Macaca mulatta: one gene and its partners. The protein of the gene in region 1 interacts with the protein of each later gene in a pairwise test. Links are inferred from orthologs where the notes say so. Each region holds a gene or a part of one and is shown in the gene's direction. Other genes may lie near its edges. The genes, in order: FHL3, SLC25A46 and GCM2.

Region 1 (3,214 bases):
GTGTGACCCCAGTTCCACCTTGTGCTCCTAACAGGGTTCTCTCTCCTTGCCACGATGAGCGAGTCATTTGACTGTGCAAAATGCAGCGAGTCCCTGTATGGACGCAAGTACATCCAGACAGACAGCGGCCCCTACTGTGTGCCCTGCTATGACAATACCTTTGCCAACACCTGCGCCGAGTGCCAGCAGCTTATCGGGCATGACTCGAGGGTAAGGAGAGGGCCAGGCCAGGCAGGAGGTGGGTGGTGACCAGTGGAAGGGGGCAAAGGATGGATCCACCAGGCCTGGGTGCCAGTGCCCCCGCTGTGTTCGCCACAGGAGCTGTTCTATGAAGACCGCCATTTCCACGAGGGCTGCTTCCGCTGCTGCCGCTGCCAGCGCTCACTAGCCGATGAACCCTTCACCTGCCAGGACAGTGAGCTGCTCTGCAATGACTGCTACTGCAGTGCGTTTTCCTCGCAGTGCTCCGCCTGTGGGGAAACTGTCATGCCTGGTATGTCCTCAGGGGCTCATCTTGTGTGAGAACTGGCATGCCTGGCATCTGCATAGGGTCTTTGCATGTGTCTGTCTGATACATGGAGACTTCGTCTGTGTAAAGACCTGCACACACAGCATGTTTCTGGAAATTTAGTATATGCAGGATCTGTTTGCCTGGTATACTGGGGGTTACTATGTGCAGGCAGATTGACACATGTGATACATACTTGGGGGCTTAGCATGTGTGAGTATCTGCATGTTTAGTACATGTAGGAACTAGAGGTGTGCTGAGACTGTCGTGCTTATTGCATTGGGTCTTAGTGTGTGCAGAGGCAGGTAAACAGAGGGCTTAACATGTGTGGGGACCTGCATGCCTAATAGAAATGTTGGGACTCAGTACCTATGGAGAATGGTGTGCCAAGGAGATGCGAGGGCTTAGCATGTACTGAACCTGTCATGCCGAGGGCATTAGGGCATATACTTACTTGCCTGGTACATGTGGGGTCCCGTGTGAGTGCTGAAATCATCACATCTGTTATATGAGGGCTTAGCTCATAGTGAGACTTCATGACTGTTACATGGAGGCTCGATATGTGCTGAAATTGTCATTTCTGGGACATATGGGGGCTTAACATATGCCAAAATCCTCGTGTCTAGCTGGGTCATCATGTCCGGTGTCTGGGGAGAGGTTAGCATGTGTAATGTACATGGGGCAGGGGGGTTCTTGCTGCATGTGCACTGGACACCACCCTGCTCAGGCTGCGAGAGGAGTGGAGACTCCCGGGGAAGTTACAGAGGGTGGCCCTCAGGAGCATGGGACACAGCCTCTAAATGGGACCCCTGTTCCCCACAGGGTCCCGGAAGCTGGAGTACGGAGGCCAGACATGGCATGAGCACTGCTTCCTGTGCAGTGGCTGTGAGCAGCCGCTGGGCTCCCGTTCCTTTGTGCCCGACAAGGGTGCTCACTACTGCGTGCCCTGCTATGAGAACAAGTTTGCTCCTCGCTGCGCCCGCTGCAGCAAGGTGGGGGCTGGGCCAGCCAGGTGGGGGTGAGTAAGGCCTGTCGTGGGGTGGGAATCCCCACTCATACCTACTAATGAATGCTGCCCCCACAGACGCTGACACAGGGTGGAGTGACATACCGTGATCAGCCCTGGCATCGAGAATGTCTGGTCTGTACCGGCTGCCAGACGCCCCTGGCAGGGCAGCAGTTCACCTCCCGGGATGAAGATCCCTACTGTGTGGCCTGTTTTGGAGAACTCTTTGCACCTAAGTGCAGCAGCTGCAAGCGCCCCATCGTAGGTGGGACAAGGGTCAAAGAACGGAGTGGGTAGGGTGCAGGCAAGGGAATGGGATGTGGTATTGGGTGAAGTTGAGGGCCGGACCATCCCTAGATCTGCAGAGCTAACTTCCAGCCTCCCTCCAGGACTCGGTGGAGGCAAGTATGTGTCCTTTGAAGACCGACACTGGCACCACAACTGCTTCTCCTGCGCCCGCTGCTCTACCTCCCTGGTGGGCCAAGGCTTCGTGCCGGATGGAGACCAAGTGCTCTGCCAGGGCTGTAGCCAGGCAGGGCCCTGAGCCAGGCTCCTGGACCCAGGCTTTCCCATACCACGGGCCCAGGACTGTAGCTCCTTTTCTAAACCACCTCTGGGACTTAGCCCCACCCCCCAACCAAAAAAAATGGGTCGCCCTCTGGGCTCCAGGATTGTTTCTCCACGCCAGCATCCCCAAACTGGTACTCCCTGACCCAGGCCCCCAAACCTGGGCTCTTATAGAGCCTCCATGAGTCAAGCTGCCTCCCCACACCTGGACTCCAGAACTCACCCTCTCCCCTGCAGTCTGGGTTCCCAGACTGAGTCCTCTCCCCAAATCAGGGCTCTAGACCCCAGCCCTCCAAACCTGGGCTCTGGGACTTAGGCCCCCTTAAATCTAGACTTCTCTTTATAGGTTTTAGGTCTCCTATGGGTGCCTGAGAAGTCCTCAAAAGTGGACTGTTCTCAAGCTTGACCTGCCCCACCCCATCCCCCCGGGGCTGAGGCTGTGGGGACAGCGATCAGGGGCCCACCGATGAGGGGGCCCTAGGGTACAGGGTGCTGCCCAGCTGGTGGCCACCGAGTGTCTTCTCATTTTATTTCAGCTCCATTTTGCCCATAGATGGGCAGAGGGGTGAGATTGGCTCACCCCCCTTCCAGATTCTGCAATAAAGCGGTGTGAGGAAGCAGGGGCCTCCGTGTGTGCCTGTGTGTGTGTGTGTGTGTGTGTGCGCGTGCGCGCGCAGGGTATAAAGGGGAAGGAAGGGTTTTTGCAGACTGGGAGGCTCAGAATCTCTTCTAGACCTCGTCCTTGCAGGGCGGGGTGGAGGGGGGCCGGGCCACGGGGTGGGAAGTCTCTCCCCATGAAGGGGATCCCCGCCACGGCTACCGTCCCTCTGGAGCTCGGCCTGCCTCCCTGCTGGCAGAGGGCTTTTTCCTCCATGCAGGGAAGGGAGGGGTTTGGGGGAGGTTCCAGACGAAAGCGAGGGTGGCGATGGGGTGCCTTAATTGGCTGGTACCAATAGTCCCCTCCGCCAACAGCCCTTCCCAAAGCCCGCAGAGCAAGGACCCGGTTCCGATCCCCAGTCTGGGCCTAGACCCTCTCAGCCCCCTTCCCCCTCTTCCCAAGGATTAACGAGGGCGGCCCGGGATCGGCTCGCGACCGCACGTTTTTTGCCAAAAAAGGCAAGGATGCAGCTGCA
Region 2 (3,652 bases), on another chromosome or scaffold:
TAATTGTGCTTTAAAGGCTGTACACCTTGCAATTTGCCACAAACCCCAGCAGAGTCCTTCATTCATTTAAATTATTTCCCTGGCCCCATCAGAATTTGACTTTGAAGTTTAAATGAACAGCAGGTTAATAAAATAAATGTTTAAAAATTGTTTTTAGACTAAACCTAAATATTGGTTATCAGTAATCTTATTTTTTTCTTTTTTTTTTTTTTTTACTTTAGAACAGCTGAATAGATTTGCTGGATTTGGTATTGGACTTGCAAGGTAATGTTTTATCTAAAGACGTTTAAAGCTTTTATTTATTTAATTTAGAGTTTTTCTTTAATTTATAATATTAAATGATTATTATTGCTTCCTTTAGGTTGTTTCTTTGAAGCAGCAGCTTAAATTTGGAATAATATTTTGCAGAAAAAAAAACATGATCATTATTTAAAACATATAATTTGATAGTTTTTCCAGTAAGGATAGACTAGTCATCCAATTTTATAAACACAAAGTAATTTTGTAATGAGTATTGTAATTGTTTTCATGGGTCTGTCCAAAGAATAAAATGAAGTGTAATCTTATCTCTCACCCATCAAAAAAAGTAATTTAGAATGGGGTTCATGAAGATCAAATGACTCTGCTGACAGGAACTTTGTTCATAGGACATTTTCTGAAAGAAATAAAAATTACATGGCATTTAATGATGCCATGTAATTGACATGGCATTTCCCACGTCAAACATATAGAGATCTAGTTTAATTTTATACTGTAGATATTAATATTATGTATTGTTTCCCTTACTTACCTGTTTGCAGATCTGGTTTTCATTCTTTTCATGGGTCTATCCAAAGAATAAAATGAAATGTAATCTGTCTCTCTCCCATCAAAAAAGTAATTGTGCATGGAGGCTTCTCTCTAAACATTCTAATGCTTATAAGATATTTAGCAGCATAGCATCTAGATTGTGTTCATAATCAGCGTTTGGTGATAGCATTACTTTATTTTTTTTTTTTAATATCTAACGATCATTTTAAGAAAAGCCTTTAGTCTTGATTATTGTGATCCTTAGTGAAAACCATTTTCAAAAATATTGGAATTGCACAAAGCTTACATTTCATGCCATAATGATCACTATCATTTTAAACATTTTAACCAAGAAAAATACCTTATTTGCATTATTGAACCCGAGGGTGTTAATGTCAATATAAATAAAATCTGTGTTTTCCATTCTGCTGGAGTTGTTTTTTGCTTCAATATTTATACTTAAAGCTTTGATTCATTTGATAGACTATTATTACATATAAATATGTGTGTACGTGTATTTATATGTCACTCTGAGACCTGAAATCCACAGCTGTAATTGTTTTGTGGGGCACATTCTCAAATCAGAAATTTGATACATAAATATTAGTCAATTAACATGGTCATTAAGAATCTTATAATTTAAGGTTTATACTTAAATTTATACTTAAACCTTATAATTGAAGTGCATCAAAACCAACATTTTTAGAATGGGGTTCATGAAGATCAAATGGCTCTGCTGATAGGCATGTTGTTCATTGGATATTTTCTGAACGAAATAATTTGCAGCATTAAATGCCATTTAACTGATGTGTCATTTCCCACATTAAACAAACAGAGATCTAGTTTCATCTTACACTACAGACATTACTATTATGTATTATGTATTGTTTCCCTTATTTACTAGTATGCAGATCTGGTTTTCATTCATTTCATATTGAATTTTGTTATGGGTAGAATCATTTGCAAACATTTCTAGACATTTTTAAAGATCTGTTTAATTTTTTTAAGAATGGAAAACAAAGTAATGCATGATTCTTCAGGCAAGAATAATTTCAGAAAGATACATGTTGTAAATTTAATTTGTCTCTATGTAGACATACATATATATAAATTATTTTTATATAGTCTCTTTACAGAAAATGTATTGGCACATCCTTGCATTGTTCTACGCCGCCAATGTCAGGTAAATGTCATTTCTTTGATCTTTTGAAGCAATACTTCTGACCCTAATATGAAGGGCAGAACTTACATAAATGACATGAAACCAGGTAATTGTTACTTCATGTGAAATGTTCCGAACTTTTTGGTCTCAAAACCTCTTTAAAGTCTTAAAAAAATATTGAGGATCCTAAATAACTTTGGTTTATTTTGGTCATATCTGCTGATATTTACCATTTCAGAAATTAAAATTGGGAAAATTTCAATGTATCTATATAATTCATTAAAATAATACATCTATTAGTAAGATAATATATTTTTATGAAAGTATTTTGCATTTTTGCAAATATTTTTAACACCTGACATAATAGGAGAGAGCCAGTTTCTCTCATATGCTTCTGCAGTCAATCTGTTGCATCACGTGGTTTTTGAAAGAAGCAAGGAAGTTTAGTCTTGTACACATGTGTAGTTGAAAGCAGGAGAGGAGTATATTATATTCTTTTGAGATAATTGTGGGTATTCTTTGCAATTGCACCAAAACTCACTGTGTGGTAGTTTCTTAAAGGTTATTTGCAATGTGAAATCAGAAATCATTTTAGTGAACTCTTTACACTTTGTTACATTAAAAAATCTATTTAATTATACTGCATCTTGAATAGATATTTTTACTTATGCATGATTCTGTATAATTGTGCATAAGTTATTTGAAAAATATTGACCAAATGAGTTATATATATCTTCCTGATGTTAAGACATTTGATTATAAAATATCAAAAAATCATCTTCATTAAAAATACTACTGATCTCACTAGAAAAGTCTTTAAGTATTGTCGGCTCTTGACGATGGATATAGATTTTCCAAAATTCTGAGTTTTACTTGAAAATTCAAACTTATCATTGACAATAAATACTGTTAGTTATTTTTGTTTTAATCAACAATCTCACTTTGTTTATTTTTTAAAATATGTCTGTCCTAAGGGTGAATAGGTATAGTCTGTCAATGAGTTTTTCTAAGTAAAAATGATGTTCCGTGAAAAAAGTGGCTAGTTCAGCTTGCAATTCTATCATACAAGTGCTTTCCTCATGACAGCAATCTTACTTCCTTATGTAACACACAAAATATTAATTAGAAAGAGGATGTGTACTCAAAGGTCAAGGATTCATAAAATTAACATTTTGTTACTTCATCATCAAGGATATCCCTATATGAAGGTTGCTTTTTTCTCCCTATGGGTAAATGAGGTGAAAAATACTGTAAGTACGAAAATACAGTTTGATGGTGCTGCCTCAATTTGTGCTAATGAGCTGGGAGTTTTACCTACCATTGCTTTTGTACCATTAGTGAACATAGCAAGACAGTGAAAAAAGCAAATGATATCTTAGTAATCATTAGGAAAATAATTTTGAACTTGTCAAGCCACTGAAAGGGTAATGGGACTCTCAGGAGTCAGTGGACCCCACTTGCAAACTCTGTTATAACCCACTTTTTGTTTGTTTGTTTGAGACAGAGTCTCGCTTTGTTGCCCAGGTAGGAGTGCAGTGGCGCGATCTCAGCTCACTGCAACCTCCGCCTCCCGGGTTCACGCCATTCTCCTGCCTCAGCCTCCCAAGTAGCTGGAACTACAGGCGCCCGCCACCACGCCCAGCTAATTTTTTCTATTTTTTTAGGAGAGACGGGGTTTCACCGTGTTAGCCAGGATGGTCT
Region 3 (3,752 bases), on another chromosome or scaffold:
ATCAGAAACCCTGACGACTAACTGGACCTTTCAGGAGGGGAGAACTTCGGGAGAAAGGAGGCTGGGAATGAACACATCACTTTCTTCTGCTAGGACCCTTCAGCTTTGCTTGGGAGGAGGACCCAAGCTTGAAGATAAGGGAGGAAAAAATCGCGAGGAACTGCTCAAAGTTGTCCTTTCTCCCCAACAGAGTTCGCTGGTCCGCTGCTATTGGCCGGCTTCTGTGACAGACCGGGATACTTTTTCTTTTTCTTTTCTTTTCTTCTTTTTTCTTTTCTTTCCTTTTCTTTTTTTTTCTTTTTTCTTTTTTCCTTCCTTCTTTCCTTCCTTCCTTCCTTCCTTCCTTCCTTCCTTCCTTCCTTCCCTCCCTCCCTCCCCCCTGCCTCCCTCCCTCCTCTCTCTCTCTCTCTCTCTCTCTCTCTCTTTCTTTCACTTTTCTTTTTTTTGAGACAGGGCCTCGTTCTGTCGCCCAGGCGGGAGTGCATCGGCGCTATCTCAGGTCACTACAACCACTGCCTCCTGGATTCAAGCGATCCTCCCGCCTCAGCCTCCCTAGTAGCTGGGACTACAGGCACACGCCACCATGCCCAGCTTTTTAAAATTATTATTATTATTATTTTGGAAGAGACAGGGTTTCTCCATGTTGCCCAGGCTGGTCTTGCACTCCTGGGCTCAAGCGATACTCCCGTCTCGGCCTCCCAAAGTGCTGGGATTACAGGCATGAGCCACAGCGCCCAGCCGCGGGATCGACTTTTCTAAGCAAGCTTCACTGTGCCTTTGGCTGGGGAAGTAAAAGGACAGGGAGTGTGGACCACCCTTAGCTTCCTGAGGTTGTTTCGCTCTTCCTTTATCCGCCTTTTGCCAACCGAAGGCACTAATCCTGCAAGAGGCGTTGGCATGGGCGCCCTCCCGGCAGAGTCCCGCGCAGCACCCGTCCGTGTGCCGAGCGCGGGCTTTGCGGTGCCGAGGTCTAGGGCGCGTCGCTCCCCAGGTCTGGAGGGTCATGGGTTCGGTTCATCCTCCTCTATCAAGGGAATTCGCCGTGAGGAGTTGGCTCCTCTTCTCTGGCTAGGGCTGGGAATGGAAGCGTGCAGCTGCAAAACAAGGGCGCGGGGAATAAATTCCAGAAACCCTTTTCCCTGGCCGCCCAGAATCCGGCCCTGGCGTAGTCAGAGTGACTTTAGTCACTTCAATCGATTTTTTTTTTTAACTGAGGGTCTCCAAGTGCCATAGTAGCCCTGGGCGAGACGGCTGCTCAGATGAGGAAGGTTTCGTCCCAGTCCCGGAAAACCCACATAGTCCTGCGCACCCCCGCACCACCGCGATTCTCTAATCCCCCAAAGCCTCCCAAGACTGTAATGGAGTAAAATTTCCACGACTATATCAGGAAAGTTTTGTTTGTTTGTTTGTTTGTTGTTGTTGTTGTTGTTGTTGTTTTTTAAGAGTTTTAAAAGAGTTGTGAGCCGGGCGCGGTGCCTGTAATCCCAGCACTCTGACAGGCTGAGGCAGGCGGATCACGAGGTAAATAGATCGAGACCATACTGGCCAACTTGGGGAAAACCCGTCTCTGCTAAATATACAAAACTAGCTGGTCGCGGTGGCGCGCGCCTGCAGTCCCAGCTACTCGGGAGGTTGAGGCGGGAGAATCGTTTGAACCTGGGAGGCGGAGGTTGCAGTGAGCTGAGATTGCACCACTGCACTCCAGCCTGGGCGACAGAGTGAGACTCCGTCTCAAAAAGAGTTCTGTTCAGGTGGGTGGCAACTGAGAGCTACCCGAACCATAACCCCTTATTTAACAGATAAGGAAGCTGAGACCCAGAGGGAGCCAAAGCAGTGGAGAAAGCTAGGAGTTCTTCGGGACTTTACCCCTCTCCCTTTTCCGTCCTTCCCCAGGCTCCTACCTACCCCAGGCTCATTTCCCCCCACCTCCTCCGGGTTCACTTTGTAGGACTCCGTTCCTGCAGGGCCAGGTCCCTCCGAAGTCCCCGGGAGCGCGAAGGCGCCTGGGCTCGCGAGCATACGCGGAGGCGTGGCGCCCGTTCACACATCCCAAACAGCCGAGCGAAGACTCCGAGACACGCACAATAGTTAGGGGAAGAGCCGGCAATGGAGGCCCAAAATGGGCTGACCCGTAACTAGGAGGCATGGGCACGGTTATTCAGCGTAGGGAGCGCGCGGACGGCAGAGGGGCCCATGCACGGTTCCCATGCTCTACTGGAATTGAGTGTTGACTCTCAGGGGACTTTGCTGGAAAGCCTCTGCTTCCAAAGCCTCCATCTAAGCCCCTTTCCGAAATCAGGGAAGCTGGATGCGTTTAGAAAAAAAAAAAAAAAAAAAAAAATAGGCCGGGTGCGGTTGCTCATGCCTGTAATCCCAGCACTTTGGGAGGCCCAGGCGAGCGGATCACCTGAGGTCAGGAGTTCAAGACCAGCTTGGTAAGGGTTTCGCATGGCGAAAACCTGTCTCTACTAAAAATACAAAAATTAGCCAGGCGTGGTGGCACGGACCTGTAATCCCAGCTACTCGAGAGGTTGAGGCAGGAGAATCGCTTGAACCTGGGAGGCGGAGGTTGCAGTGAGCCGAGATGGCGCCACTGCACTCCAGCCTGGGCAACGGAGTGAGACAAAAAAGAAGAAAAGAGAAGAAAATAATAAGGTTTTAAACTTAAAGGATACATTCCAACTTACCCTCTCCACCCCCACCCCCTGGCTGCAGTTTCCCTTTGCTTCCAGGGCTGAGTTTAACCTCCACCTCCGTTCCTGGGTCTGTGGTGGAGGTGGTGGCCGGCCCCTGGAGCGTGGGCGCTAGCGAGGTAGGCGAAACAGGGCGGAGTCCCCCGGAGATGCATCTTTATAAAGGAGGGATCAGCTGCAGACGTCGATGCTACCGTTCGGGTGGAGACCGTTCAGCACCGCGGCCGAGGACAGGGCCCCGCCCGGGTCCATAACCATTGTCCCCAACTTCCAGATTTCTAAACAATCTCTCTCTCTTTCTCTCTGCCCCTCCCCTTCACACACATACCCCACTTTCTTCTTTAAAGAGTAGGAAAAAAATCACCTGGCGCACCTCTCCTTTTTTCTTCTATTTTTCAGAACCCTGGGCGGAAAGCGCGAGCGAGTTGGGCAGATGCCGGCAGCCGCGGTGCAGGATACGGTCGGCGTGTGCTCATACGGGATGCAGCTCAGCTGGGACATCAACGATCCACAGATGCCTCAGGTAAGTGAACCGGGTGTGTGCGGGCACGCGGGGCGCTGTCTATCCGAAGGAGGGAGGGAGAATGGCATTCAAGTTCTTGAAGAGTCTGCGGACGGACCATGACGTGGTCACACACACACACACACGCACACACACGCAAAATTTCTGGGTTTCTGAGGCCCCCTCAAATGTAGAAAGAGAACTGGACTCCACAAAAGGCTGAATTGGGTTTAGAAATGTGTCTTCTCGGCCGGGCGCGGTGGCTCACGCCTGTAATCCCAGCACTTTGGGAGGTCGAGGCGGGCGGATCACCTGAGATCGGGAGTTCAAGACCAGCCTGACCAACATGGAGAAACCCCGTCTCTACTAAAAATGCAAAATTATCTGGGCGTGGTGGAGCATGCCTATAGTCCCAGCTACTCGGGAGGCTGAGGCGGGAGAATCGCTTGAACCCGGGAGACGGAGGTTACTGTGAGTCAAGACCACCCCATTGCACTCCAGCCTAGGCAACAAGAGCAAAACTCTGTCTCAAAAAAAAAAAGGAAAGAAATAAGAAG

What was found.
Region 2: the proteins of FHL3 (region 1) and SLC25A46 interact in binary tests that used the Homo sapiens proteins (3 or more experiments, as listed by UniProt). The two-hybrid records come from large-scale screens. The link is inferred for Macaca mulatta from reciprocal best matches to the Homo sapiens genes FHL3 and SLC25A46.
Region 3: the proteins of FHL3 (region 1) and GCM2 interact in binary tests that used the Homo sapiens proteins (3 or more experiments, as listed by UniProt). The link is inferred for Macaca mulatta from reciprocal best matches to the Homo sapiens genes FHL3 and GCM2.

Annotation. Positions count from the first base shown.
Region 1 is NC_133406.1:202,795,976-202,799,189, forward strand, and holds the end of FHL3 (four and a half LIM domains protein 3), read left to right. Parts: intron 1-34; coding exon of another isoform or gene 35-54; coding exon 55-210; intron 211-318; coding exon 319-493; intron 494-1,330; coding exon 1,331-1,500; intron 1,501-1,592; coding exon 1,593-1,779; intron 1,780-1,903; coding exon 1,904-2,058; 3' UTR 2,059-2,581; downstream 2,582-3,214. UniProt on the Homo sapiens protein: Recruited by SOX15 to FOXK1 promoters where it acts as a transcriptional coactivator of FOXK1.
Region 2 is NC_133411.1:119,560,326-119,563,977, forward strand, and holds part of SLC25A46 (mitochondrial outer membrane protein SLC25A46), read left to right. Parts: intron 1-221; coding exon 222-264; intron 265-1,914; coding exon 1,915-1,972; intron 1,973-3,652. UniProt on the Homo sapiens protein: Transmembrane protein of the mitochondrial outer membrane that controls mitochondrial organization.
Region 3 is NC_133409.1:172,240,988-172,244,739, forward strand, and holds the start of GCM2 (chorion-specific transcription factor GCMb), read left to right. Parts: upstream 1-897; coding exon 898-1,042; intron 1,043-1,893; coding exon 1,894-2,131; intron 2,132-3,092; coding exon 3,093-3,216; intron 3,217-3,752. UniProt on the Homo sapiens protein: Transcription factor that binds specific sequences on gene promoters and activate their transcription. Through the regulation of gene transcription, may play a role in parathyroid gland development.